2 linked regions of the Sus scrofa genome follow. The protein of the gene in region 1 interacts with the protein of each later gene in a pairwise test. Links are inferred from orthologs where the notes say so. Each region holds a gene or a part of one and is shown on either strand. Other genes may lie near its edges.

What was found. The genes of interacting proteins can lie anywhere in the genome.
Region 2: the proteins of PEX12 (region 1) and PEX10 interact in a two-hybrid assay, tested with the Homo sapiens proteins (4 studies listed by BioGRID, with this or other methods). The link is inferred for Sus scrofa from reciprocal best matches to the Homo sapiens genes PEX12 and PEX10.

The regions. Positions count from the first base shown.
Region 1 is NC_010454.4:39,929,860-39,934,702, forward strand, and holds the start of PEX12 (peroxisome assembly protein 12), read left to right. Parts: upstream 1-1,820; 5' UTR 1,821-3,293; coding exon 3,294-3,419; intron 3,420-3,980; coding exon 3,981-4,534; intron 4,535-4,843. UniProt on the Homo sapiens protein: Component of a retrotranslocation channel required for peroxisome organization by mediating export of the PEX5 receptor from peroxisomes to the cytosol, thereby promoting PEX5 recycling.
Region 2 is NC_010448.4:64,314,324-64,319,151, forward strand, and holds the start of PEX10 (peroxisome biogenesis factor 10), read right to left. Parts: upstream 3,356-4,828; 5' UTR 3,247-3,355; coding exon 3,135-3,246; intron 2,216-3,134; coding exon 2,135-2,215; intron 1,800-2,134; coding exon 1,393-1,799; exon of another isoform or gene 314-1,392; coding exon 138-313; intron 40-137; coding exon 1-39.

The sequences.
Region 1 (4,843 bases):
AGAAAGCAGCTGCCAGGAGTTCCTGATTTGGCGAGGCAGAAATGAATCCAACTAGTATCCACAAGGATGTGGGTTCGATCCCTGACCTTGCTCAGTGGGTTAAGGATCCAGCGTTGCCATGAGCTGTGTGGTGTAGGTTATAGAGGTGGTTTGGATCCTGAGTTACTACGGCTGTGGGTAGGCCGGCAGTGGTAGCTCTGATTCGACCCCTAGCCTGGGAACTTCCATATGCCACAGGAGAGACCTTAAAAAGACAAAAAAAAAAAAAAAAAAAAAAGCAAGCAAGCAACTGGCAGAGAGAAGCCGAGATAAAATGTGAGGTTAGAAATGCTCTTCTCTTTGGTTACATAGGCCAATATAGGCCTTCTGTTTAAGCCAATTTGAATGGCCTCATTGTTCCCAGCTGATATCATCTCTTCCATTAAATTCACACCATATTGAACCTGATGACTCTTAATAACTTTAAATGCAATCAATTTTGGGGTCTTATTTATTACATCATAAACCTAAGAGTGGGATCTATGATTAGGTGTTTATTTTTTGTTGGCTGTAGTAATTGACTTTTTTTTTTTTAACTGCCTTTCCCTTTTCTCATGTGATAATGTCAGTTTATTTTTGGAATAGTCTCAATGGGCTATTAAGTTGTCTTGCCATCTTTTGTCTAAGAGTGAAACAGGGAGTGGTGAGGAAATCCGAACCAAGGTAGGTCACAAGGAATCTGAATTGTAAGTACAGGGACAGAAAGAAATTTGTTGAACCTCATTCACGGCAACAATGATGCCTAGATGAGACTTTGCTAATTCTTGCGAGAAACATCCAGTAGGGCTGTATAATTACTGTACTTTCAGAGTTGGCTTTCCTTATTTTGTTAGCTACTCCATATTCTTCCGATAATTTTTTTAGTTTAAATTAGCTGTTTTCTGTTGCTTGTAGCCAAAAACCATAACTGATACAAGTTTAACTAACTTCCCATTCATCTTAGTTGATGCTATTTCTCAGCTTTGTCTTTTTGCTGTTACTTAAGAAAAGCCCATTTGTAACAGCTACCTTTGATCACATATCTAATGCCAAGTGCTTTATACATTACTCCAGTCCTTAAAACTCTGTAAGGTGTTCCCCTTGTGTCACAGCAGAAATGAATCCAACTAGTATCCATGAGGATGTGGGTTCCATCCCTGGCCTTGCTCAGAGGGTCGGGGATCTGGCATTGCCATGACCTGTGGTGTAGGTCACAGACATGGCTGGGATTCCACGTTGCTGTGGCTGTGGTGTAGGCTGGCAGCTGTAGTTCTGATTTGACCCCTAGCCTGGGAATTTCTATATGCCACTGGTATAGCCCTAAAAAGAAAAAACAAAAAACAAAAAAAACCTCTATAAGGTAAAACTCTTACATTAACGTGACTTTCTCCTGCAGGCGTTTTAGCAGAATATAAAACACTTTGTAGAACTAAAATCAAGGTTAACTTGCAAGATTTTATTTCTCCTCTTTGGATAATAAACTTTGTTTTCCACCATTCTCATTCTGTGAAACAATTAACTACCTTTATAAGGTCCTCTAAGGCAGTAACTAATAACCTCCTATGGAGTTCCCATTGTGGCTCCGCGGAAACAAATCTGACCAGTAACCATGAGGACACATATTTGATGCCTAGCCTTCCTCAGTGGGTTAAGGATCCGGTGTTGCCCTGAGCTGCGGTGTAGGTCCAAAATGCAGCTCAGATCTGGTGTTGCGTGGCTGCCACGTAGGCCAGTGGCGACGGCTCCAATTCAACAACTAGCCTGGGAATCTCTATGTGCCCTGGGTGCCACCCTGAAACAAAACAAAACAAAACAAATCACCTTCTATTTCTGGTTATTTGGGGGGGGGGAGGGGGCGTTGGAGAGAGAAGGAGATGAACTCTAACTTCATATAAATTAAACCTGCAGCAGCAACTCAACCAAGGCAATTGCATACGATGTAAAAGTACGTTGCAAATCCTAAGGTTAATTACATTCCTTCTGGTATACAAACAACGAAAACTATCTTCTCTGTCAAGCCTCCCCAGTTCACGCTAGTTAGAATTCATCTGATTCGTACCCAATATTCATATCGCTAAGGTAACACAGTCGACTGTGTACGAGCGTAGGAACCAGTTTGAACTAGCGTACCAAGTGCTTACAGTTATGCTTGAAAGAACCTAATCTAGAAGACTCGTCCCAACTTGTGAGTAACAAAAGATCTCTTCTCATCCTAATCATTTTTTTTTCTTTAAATAGCAATTGGCGACCATAAAGCTAAGGCTTCTATCTCCAATTATGTCGCTTCAAATCCTCCCCTAAGGCAGCAGAAAACGGTGAACCACCACCCTCGCCACGAGTACAGCGAGAGCCTTCCATCTTCACATTCCCTTGCGTCCCTCGACTCCTAAACTCGATCGCCCCAGGTAACAAACGCCTCTGTGGGCTGAGTTCTGGCTCCAGCCGCCAAACGTTGGTGCGGCGCCCTCAACACCCTGCTAAAAAGACTCTGCAGAGAGAGATCGGAACCGTAACTTTCCCATGAGGCGGCAAAACAAAAACAACTAGGAAAAGTAAAACCAACCAGCGGAGAACGGCTCTGCAAGCAAAACCCCTAGCGCCTTCTTTACTTTCAGCAGGAGGCGGAAGCGGAAGTCCCAGTGAGGCCATAGAGATCTCTAGTTCCGGTCTCGCGGTCGCATTCCGGGCTAGAGCGCCTCGCCTCGCCTCCGCCAGCCTTCTCCAAGCCCCGTGGTCTATTTCCGGTTGCGGCTTCTGTCATAAAGCGGAGACCTGCTTTCAAACGCTGTGTCGCGGGTCTCTGGCGCTTCGCAGGAGTCAGCGCGCTAGGACGGGAACAGGCGGGGGGGCTGCACTGCTCACAACTGAGCCTGACCGAGCGGACCCTCAGAGCCGCCTGGCTTTTGGAGCCTTTAAGATTGAAGTCTATGATTGACAGCTTCCAGGACTGCGGCTCGAGAGTTCAGCGCTCCTTCGCCCGTACCTGTCCCCCTCTGTCACACGCTCTACCCTGTGAGGTGCAGCATTAATCAAGTCACCCCCTCCCACTCGCCACTGCCACCCGCGTCTGCGTCAACTTGGTTCTTAACCTCCTTCACCCAAGAACCCCTCCCCTCTGCCTCCGGAAAAGGTCTTTTTTTGCCTAGTTCTTGTAAAATTAAGGGGGTATCCTGCAGAAAGTTATCTTCAAAACTGACACCATCTGATACTCCCCAAAAGTTCATGCTTGCTAGGGAGTTTGTGTGCAAAGCAAAACCCAGTGCACACAGGAAACTATGGCTGAACATGGGGCTCACATCACAACTGCTTCTGTAGTGGATGACCAGCCATCCATCTTTGAAGTGGTAGCCCAGGAAAGTTTAATGACAGCAGTGAGACCTGCTCTTCAGCATGTGGTCAAGGTAAGGATTTAATTCCCTGAAACGTTTTAGAGATGTCTGGGTAAAAACTAAACCAACATTTTTGAATGTATTTGTTGGCCTAAGTTTTTTTTGTTTTGTCTTTTTGCCTTTTCTAGGGCTGATTCCCGTGGCACATGGAAGTTCCCAGGCTAGGGGTCTAATCAGAGCTGTAGCCACCGGCCTAGCCACAGCCACAGCAATGCAGGATTCCGAGCAGCGTCTGTGATCAACACCACAGCTCACGGCAATGCCGGATCCTTAACCACTGAGCAAGGCCAGGGATCGAACCTGCAACCTCATGGTTCCTAGTCGGATTCGTTAACCACTGCGCCAGCACAGGAACTCCTGTTGGCCTAAGTTTTGAAATAACCAGTTTGCATATAATTCATATCCTATGATTTAACTGTTACTCGGGTCTCTGTTTTGTGTTGAGTGTTGTGTGTACTCAATACCCAGCACTTAAGGAAGCTTAAAATAGAATTTAGAGGGGAAAAAAAAGGAATTATAAATACAAGGCATAGTATATGTGTAATTAAATTTCGTTTATTTATTTTGCTTTAGGTTCTTGCAGAATCAAATCCTGCCCACTATGGCTTCTTTTGGAGATGGTTTGATGAAATTTTTACCGTGCTGGATCTTTTGCTCCAGCAGCATTATCTGTCTAAAACCAGTGCCTCGTTTTCTGAAAACTTTTATGGCTTAAAGAGGATTGTAATGGGAGACACACAGAAGCTTCAGAGATTGGCCAGTGCTGGTCTCCCAAAGAGGCAGCTCTGGAAGTCAATTATGTTCCTGGTTCTTCTTCCCTATCTGAAAGTGAAGCTGGAGAAGCTAGTTTCCAGCCTGAGAGAAGAGGATGAATATTCCATCCATCCCCCTTCTTCCCGCTGGAAGCAATTTTACAGAGCCTTCCTGGCAGCCTACCCATTTGTTAACATGGCCTGGGAAGGCTGGTTTCTAGTACAACAGCTTCAGTACATCCTAGGAAAGGCTCAGCATCACTCACCACTGCTGAGTCTGGCTGGAGTTCGCCTTGGGAGGCTTACAGTTCATGATATACAAGCTCTGGAGCACAAACCAGCTGAAGCCAGCATGATGCAGCAACCTGCTGGGAGGTAAGACCTTAACATTTCCCCCAAATCTTTGATTGATAAATTCTAAAAGCTTATCCAAATTTTATGAAACTCACCTCTCTCAGTCCACGTGGAGGTATTTCATAAAATCAGAGAAAAAAATTCTTGTGTCCATAAAACAAGGACTGTCATCCCGGTAACCTTCCTCATACTGGCTACATGTTTGTCCACACTCGCTAAAGGAAACTGTGCTAGATGTGTATATATCTCAATCCTCATCACAACTCAATGAAATAAATGCATTAGGACCATTTAACACCTGAAGAAACTAAGTTCCAACAGTTAAGTACC
Region 2 (4,828 bases), on another chromosome or scaffold:
AGGGACGCGGTGCTGACCACTCTCTCGTCCACATGGCTCCTGGTGGGGGAGGGACGGTGGGACAGAGCGGAGTCCCCAGCCTGCTCTGGGTGGGTGGCGATGCCAGGCGCCCTGGGGTGCGCCCCCTGCCCGCGTACCTGCGGTGGGACAGGCCGCGGTGCAGCTTCCACTCCTGCCGGGCGCGCTGCTTCTGCCGGGAGCTGTAGAGCTGCAGGCCCGCGGACAGTGCCAGGTGCAGCAGGGACAGCAGCCCCAGCAGCCTGTAGCCGGTGCGCACCCTGGGGTCCTCGGCAGGCGGGCGGCGCACGCGGAGCTGCCAAGGACGTGGAGGGACAGTCCCATGATCGGCTGCACAAAGCACCCACCGCCCCAGGGCCAGGCCTCCCGGGTGAATGAAGCCCTGGCCCACCCTCTGGCACAAGGAGGATGGAGAGGGACCACTGGCCTCTGGCTGCTCGGGGAGCAGACGCTCCTTGCCGGCTCTGAGCACTGAGTGGTGGCCCCGTTGGTCCCCCGGGGAGCCGAGTGCTGAGTGAGGATGAGAGCCCAGGGGTCAGACTCTGCAGGTCACACTGGCTGCAGGGAGGACCGCAGGGTGAGGGGGACGGCCAGGCACCCAGACCTCGGAGGCAAACGAGCCTGAGGAGCACACCCAGTGGACAGGCGCGGGCTCAGTGTTGCAGACACGGCTGCGTGGCCCTGTCCAAGGAACAGAGCGAGGCACCACCCGGCCCCTCCTGCAGCTGAGGACACTGAGGCCACATCCTCGAGGGGGAGGGGCCTGCCCTGCACGTCCATCTCCTTGCCTTGGCTGGAAGTGGGGACAGTCAGGTCAGCCACACAGCTGGAGCCTGGAGCCTGACACCCTGACTGGATGCACCCTGTGTCTGTTGCAGCAGCTCAGCAAACACCTCAACCAACAGAGCCGGCACAGCGAGGCCTGGGGCGGGGCGCCTGCAGACCCTTGGGGAGGCCTTCAGGGTGAATCTGGAAGCAAGGGCGGCAGCTGAGACCCCGAAGGGAAGGGGCATCTGCAGGTGGAGGGTGGAGACCGGTGGGGATGCTGGCAGCAGGGTGGCCTCGTGGTTGCTGCGGGGTCACCACCGGGGTCCCTATACCTGACTCTGGCGGGCAGCCTGGAAGGGGCGTGGGAGGCAGGCCTGGCACAGAGTTCAAGCGCAGGCTGCAGGAAGACAGACCAGCCCGACCTTCAGGGTTTATGGAAAGCAGACTTCCGTGGGCCTTTTGGCAAAATGGAGCCGACACAACCCATGTTTCCCATGGAAGGTTCTGGCTCCAGGCCTGTGACTGCTCGTGGACAGAGGCCCGGAAAAGCCAGCTCCCTGCTGATGAGCCAGAACCGAGCAGGTCCAGGTGGCACCAGTTACTTACATAGGTGATGCCAGTGAACCTCTTGGCCAGGTGGTAGAAGGCACCGTGGATGTAGAACCAGGCAACGTGGAGCCGCCGGAGGCAGCCAAGGACCTGCCTGAGCATCCCCGCGGCCTGCAGAAGCGCCCTCTGCTGCTGCTCCGTCAGGGTGGCCGTCCGCCTGCGCACCCAGCGCCTTGGGGCTGACTGGCTGCGTGCAGTGGGCGCCAGGCTGCCCTGCGTGGGCCGGGTGCTGTCGCCGGCCACCTGCAGCTCGTGCTCCAAGTGGAGCAGGGCCTTGTCCAGCACGTAGGGCAGGACGGTGTGCAGAGCCACCAGGATCCCGCGGCGCAGCCTGGAGGGCACTCGGCTCTGGGACGGGTCCACCTGGACGACGCTGACGTACTCTTCCCCAAGGGTCTGGTAGCCTGTGGGGGATGGGGACCTGGCAGCAATCTCCTTCCCTCTACCACGGCCGCCCCTCCTCTAAAAGACGAGGCTCCCTCAGGGCGGGCCCCCGGGGCCATGAGTTCAGCCACAGACACACAGTCCCGGGGCCTGCATGACAGGACTCTCAGTTTCCAGGGGCCCTGGCCTGGGTTTGGGCCTGGCCTCTCATCCAGGGAAGGGGCTCTGCTTCCCTGAGGCTGGTCTGGGCCAGGGACACCAGGAAGCACCTCCAGAAGCTCCTTCCTTGGCTGGCAGCCCCTCTCCTGTCCTCTGGGTGTGTCGTGGGTCCTTCGGTCCCGCCTGGGGCTGCTACCTGCAAGTGTGGTGAGGCCGAAGTAGGCTACATCCGACACCAGCTCGAGCTCTCTCCTCCACTCCAGCCACTTCTTCGCACCTGAGAGAAGAGAGAGCCTGTTACTGAGGGCCGGGGGGTGAGGCGGTGCGCTGGTGAGAATTAGAAACAGCTCTCTCTCCTGCTGCCAGGGCCCCGCCCAGTCCCCGCTCCAATGGCTGAGACTGGTCTAAACCACACTCTGTTCTCTCCCTGGCCTTCTGTGCTGTCCACTCTGCTCCATCCATACCTGCCTCACCTGGGCCGCTGAGTGTCCTGAGAACCTACCCACCAACAGCCCTCTCCCCCTCCAGGACCCACCTGGGCAACTGTTCCAGAGCCCAGAAGGGCCACAAGGACAGACGGGGTAGTACAGTGACCAGAAGCTCAAGCTGAGCCCACCGTCCAGCATCAAATCCTAGCTCCCCACAACAATGGCAGTGACCTCAGGCAAGTTACAACATTTCCCTGTCAGTAACAGGTCCTAACTTGCAGGGATGTGTTCAGAATAAAAGAAGTTAATGTTCTGAAGCACAGAGAACAGGGTCTGACACAAAGTAAGGCAAAAAATTAGCAAAAATAAATACACAAGTGGGTGCCTCCCTGCTGACGGCCACCCAAGTCCCGAATCTACGGTCCGGCCTCGCCTCGGCTGTTCCGAGTAGCAGCCCAGCTGTGGGCCAAAATCCACCCCAGGCTTTCGTCCGTCCACTGGGCTCCACTGCCGCTGCTCAACGGGGGCCTTCGTGTGTCCCCAGAGCCGTGGACGCTCCCACAGCTGGCGCCTGATCCCCACCCCGCCCCCGGCAGCCGGGGGCGAAGACCGAGGCGCTCGCTTCTTCCTGCAGCTCAGGTCTCAGCGCGGCGCGCAGGGCCTGGCCGAGCCCGCGGTGGCCGAGCCGACGGGTTTGGGGCTCGTCCGCCCGCCTGGCCCCCCAGCCTGGCGCCCAGGACCACCCGCGGGCCCCCCCAGAGGCCTCACCCGCCAGGCTGTGCAGGGCGTCGCCCGCCGCACTCCGCAGCCCGCCGCGGTAGTAGTCGTCCTTCTGCGCCGCACGGACCACCTCCGGGGGGCTGGCGGCCGTAAGAGCCATCGCCGAGGGCTTGGAGTCGAAGGGACCTGCGGCCTCGGCGACACGGAGACGGCCACGCCCACGCGGCGGCGCCAGATGACGGCCGGGGCTCGGGCTCGGCGTGGCGCGCGGCACAGACCTTGAGCGTCACAGCGCGCGGGGCGGGGCCGAGCCGGCGGGGCGGGGCGGGGCGGGGCGGGGCGGGGCGGGGCGGGGCGGGGCGGCAGAGGCCAAAGCCGAGCCCGCCCGGCTCTGTGCCGGGTCGGGTCTGTGCGGGGCGATCGCGGCCCGGGGGAGGGCAGGCGCAGAGCAGGAGGGGCGGATAGGCGGGGCATGGGGGCGAGGGGCCATGGGGACAGCCCTCAGGTATTGCGAGGAACGTCAGAGCCGGCGCGGGCGCCCTCCCCGGTGCGGAGACAGTCGTCCGCTCTCTGGGGCAGGAAGTGAGGAGGGCGTTGCTCCCTCTCCTTGCAGTGCCCTCCGCGGGGTGCTGGCATCCCTTGTGCTCTAATCCCTGCGACCACCCCCCGCCCCCCGCGGGCTGGCGGAATAGGATCTGGGGCCCAGGGCGGGGCCAGGAGTACGGATTCTTGAACTACGGTGTTTATACTGGTGGCCCCCCAGGCCCCACAAGTGCAGACCCCTGACCTCTCTGAGCTGCTCTCATAAGTGGGACCGAGGGAGACTTGGGGGCCTTGGGAGGCCATGCACTAGGGGGGACAGAGGTAGGAGAGACTAGCACCTGGGCACAGGCACAGCTGGATTTGAGCTGCAAGGAGGACCCAGGGAGGAGCCCCGGGGGAGGACAGTGGGAGGAGGAAGTGGGGCACCCTGAGGGCTCTGGGCCTGGAGCAGGTCACAACATCTGCATCTGTGCCCCAGACCAGAGGGGTCCCAGTGAAAAAGGGCCCCGTCCTGTGGGCACAAAGGGGGGGCTGTGGGACCAGCAGGAGAGAAAAAATGCAGGTGAACCTAGGGGGTGGGGGAGTCACCAGCAGTGACTTTGGCCAGCAGGCCGTGGCTTGAGACAGGCTGCAGCTCTTGGCTTCACTTCTGCTCCTGTATCCCGGCATCAGCTGTGGGTACGTGCCCAGGCTGGTGCAGCTCAACCCCCTGGAATTGAGCTGTGGGCACAGTCTAGAGCTTATCGGGGCCCCACAGCTGTAGGCAGCTCTTAGAGGGAAGGGGCAGAAGCTGGATGGTCCCACAGTCCTTCCTGCTAATGAAGCGCCTCTGTCCCTTCAGAGTGGCACCCCTGCCTGTGGGTACACCCTGTTTCCTGAACGCAGAGGCTGCCTGCTCCTTTGGCTTCCAGCCTGGGGTGGACAGACTCACAAGCGGGGCCTGGGGGAGACACTGATGCCTCAGAAATTTCTGGTCAGTCCTCACCCAACAGGCTGAAACACACTGCTCCTTCCTGACCACAGAGACGCCCTGGCCTGTGTCCACTGGCACCAAGTTGGAGCTGGAGTATTTTTTATTTTTTATTTTTATTTGTTGGTCTTTTTTAGGTCTACGCTTGTGGCATATGGAAATTCCTAGGCTAGGGATCTACTCGGAGCTACAGGTGCCGGCCTACACCACAGCTCACGAGACACGGGAT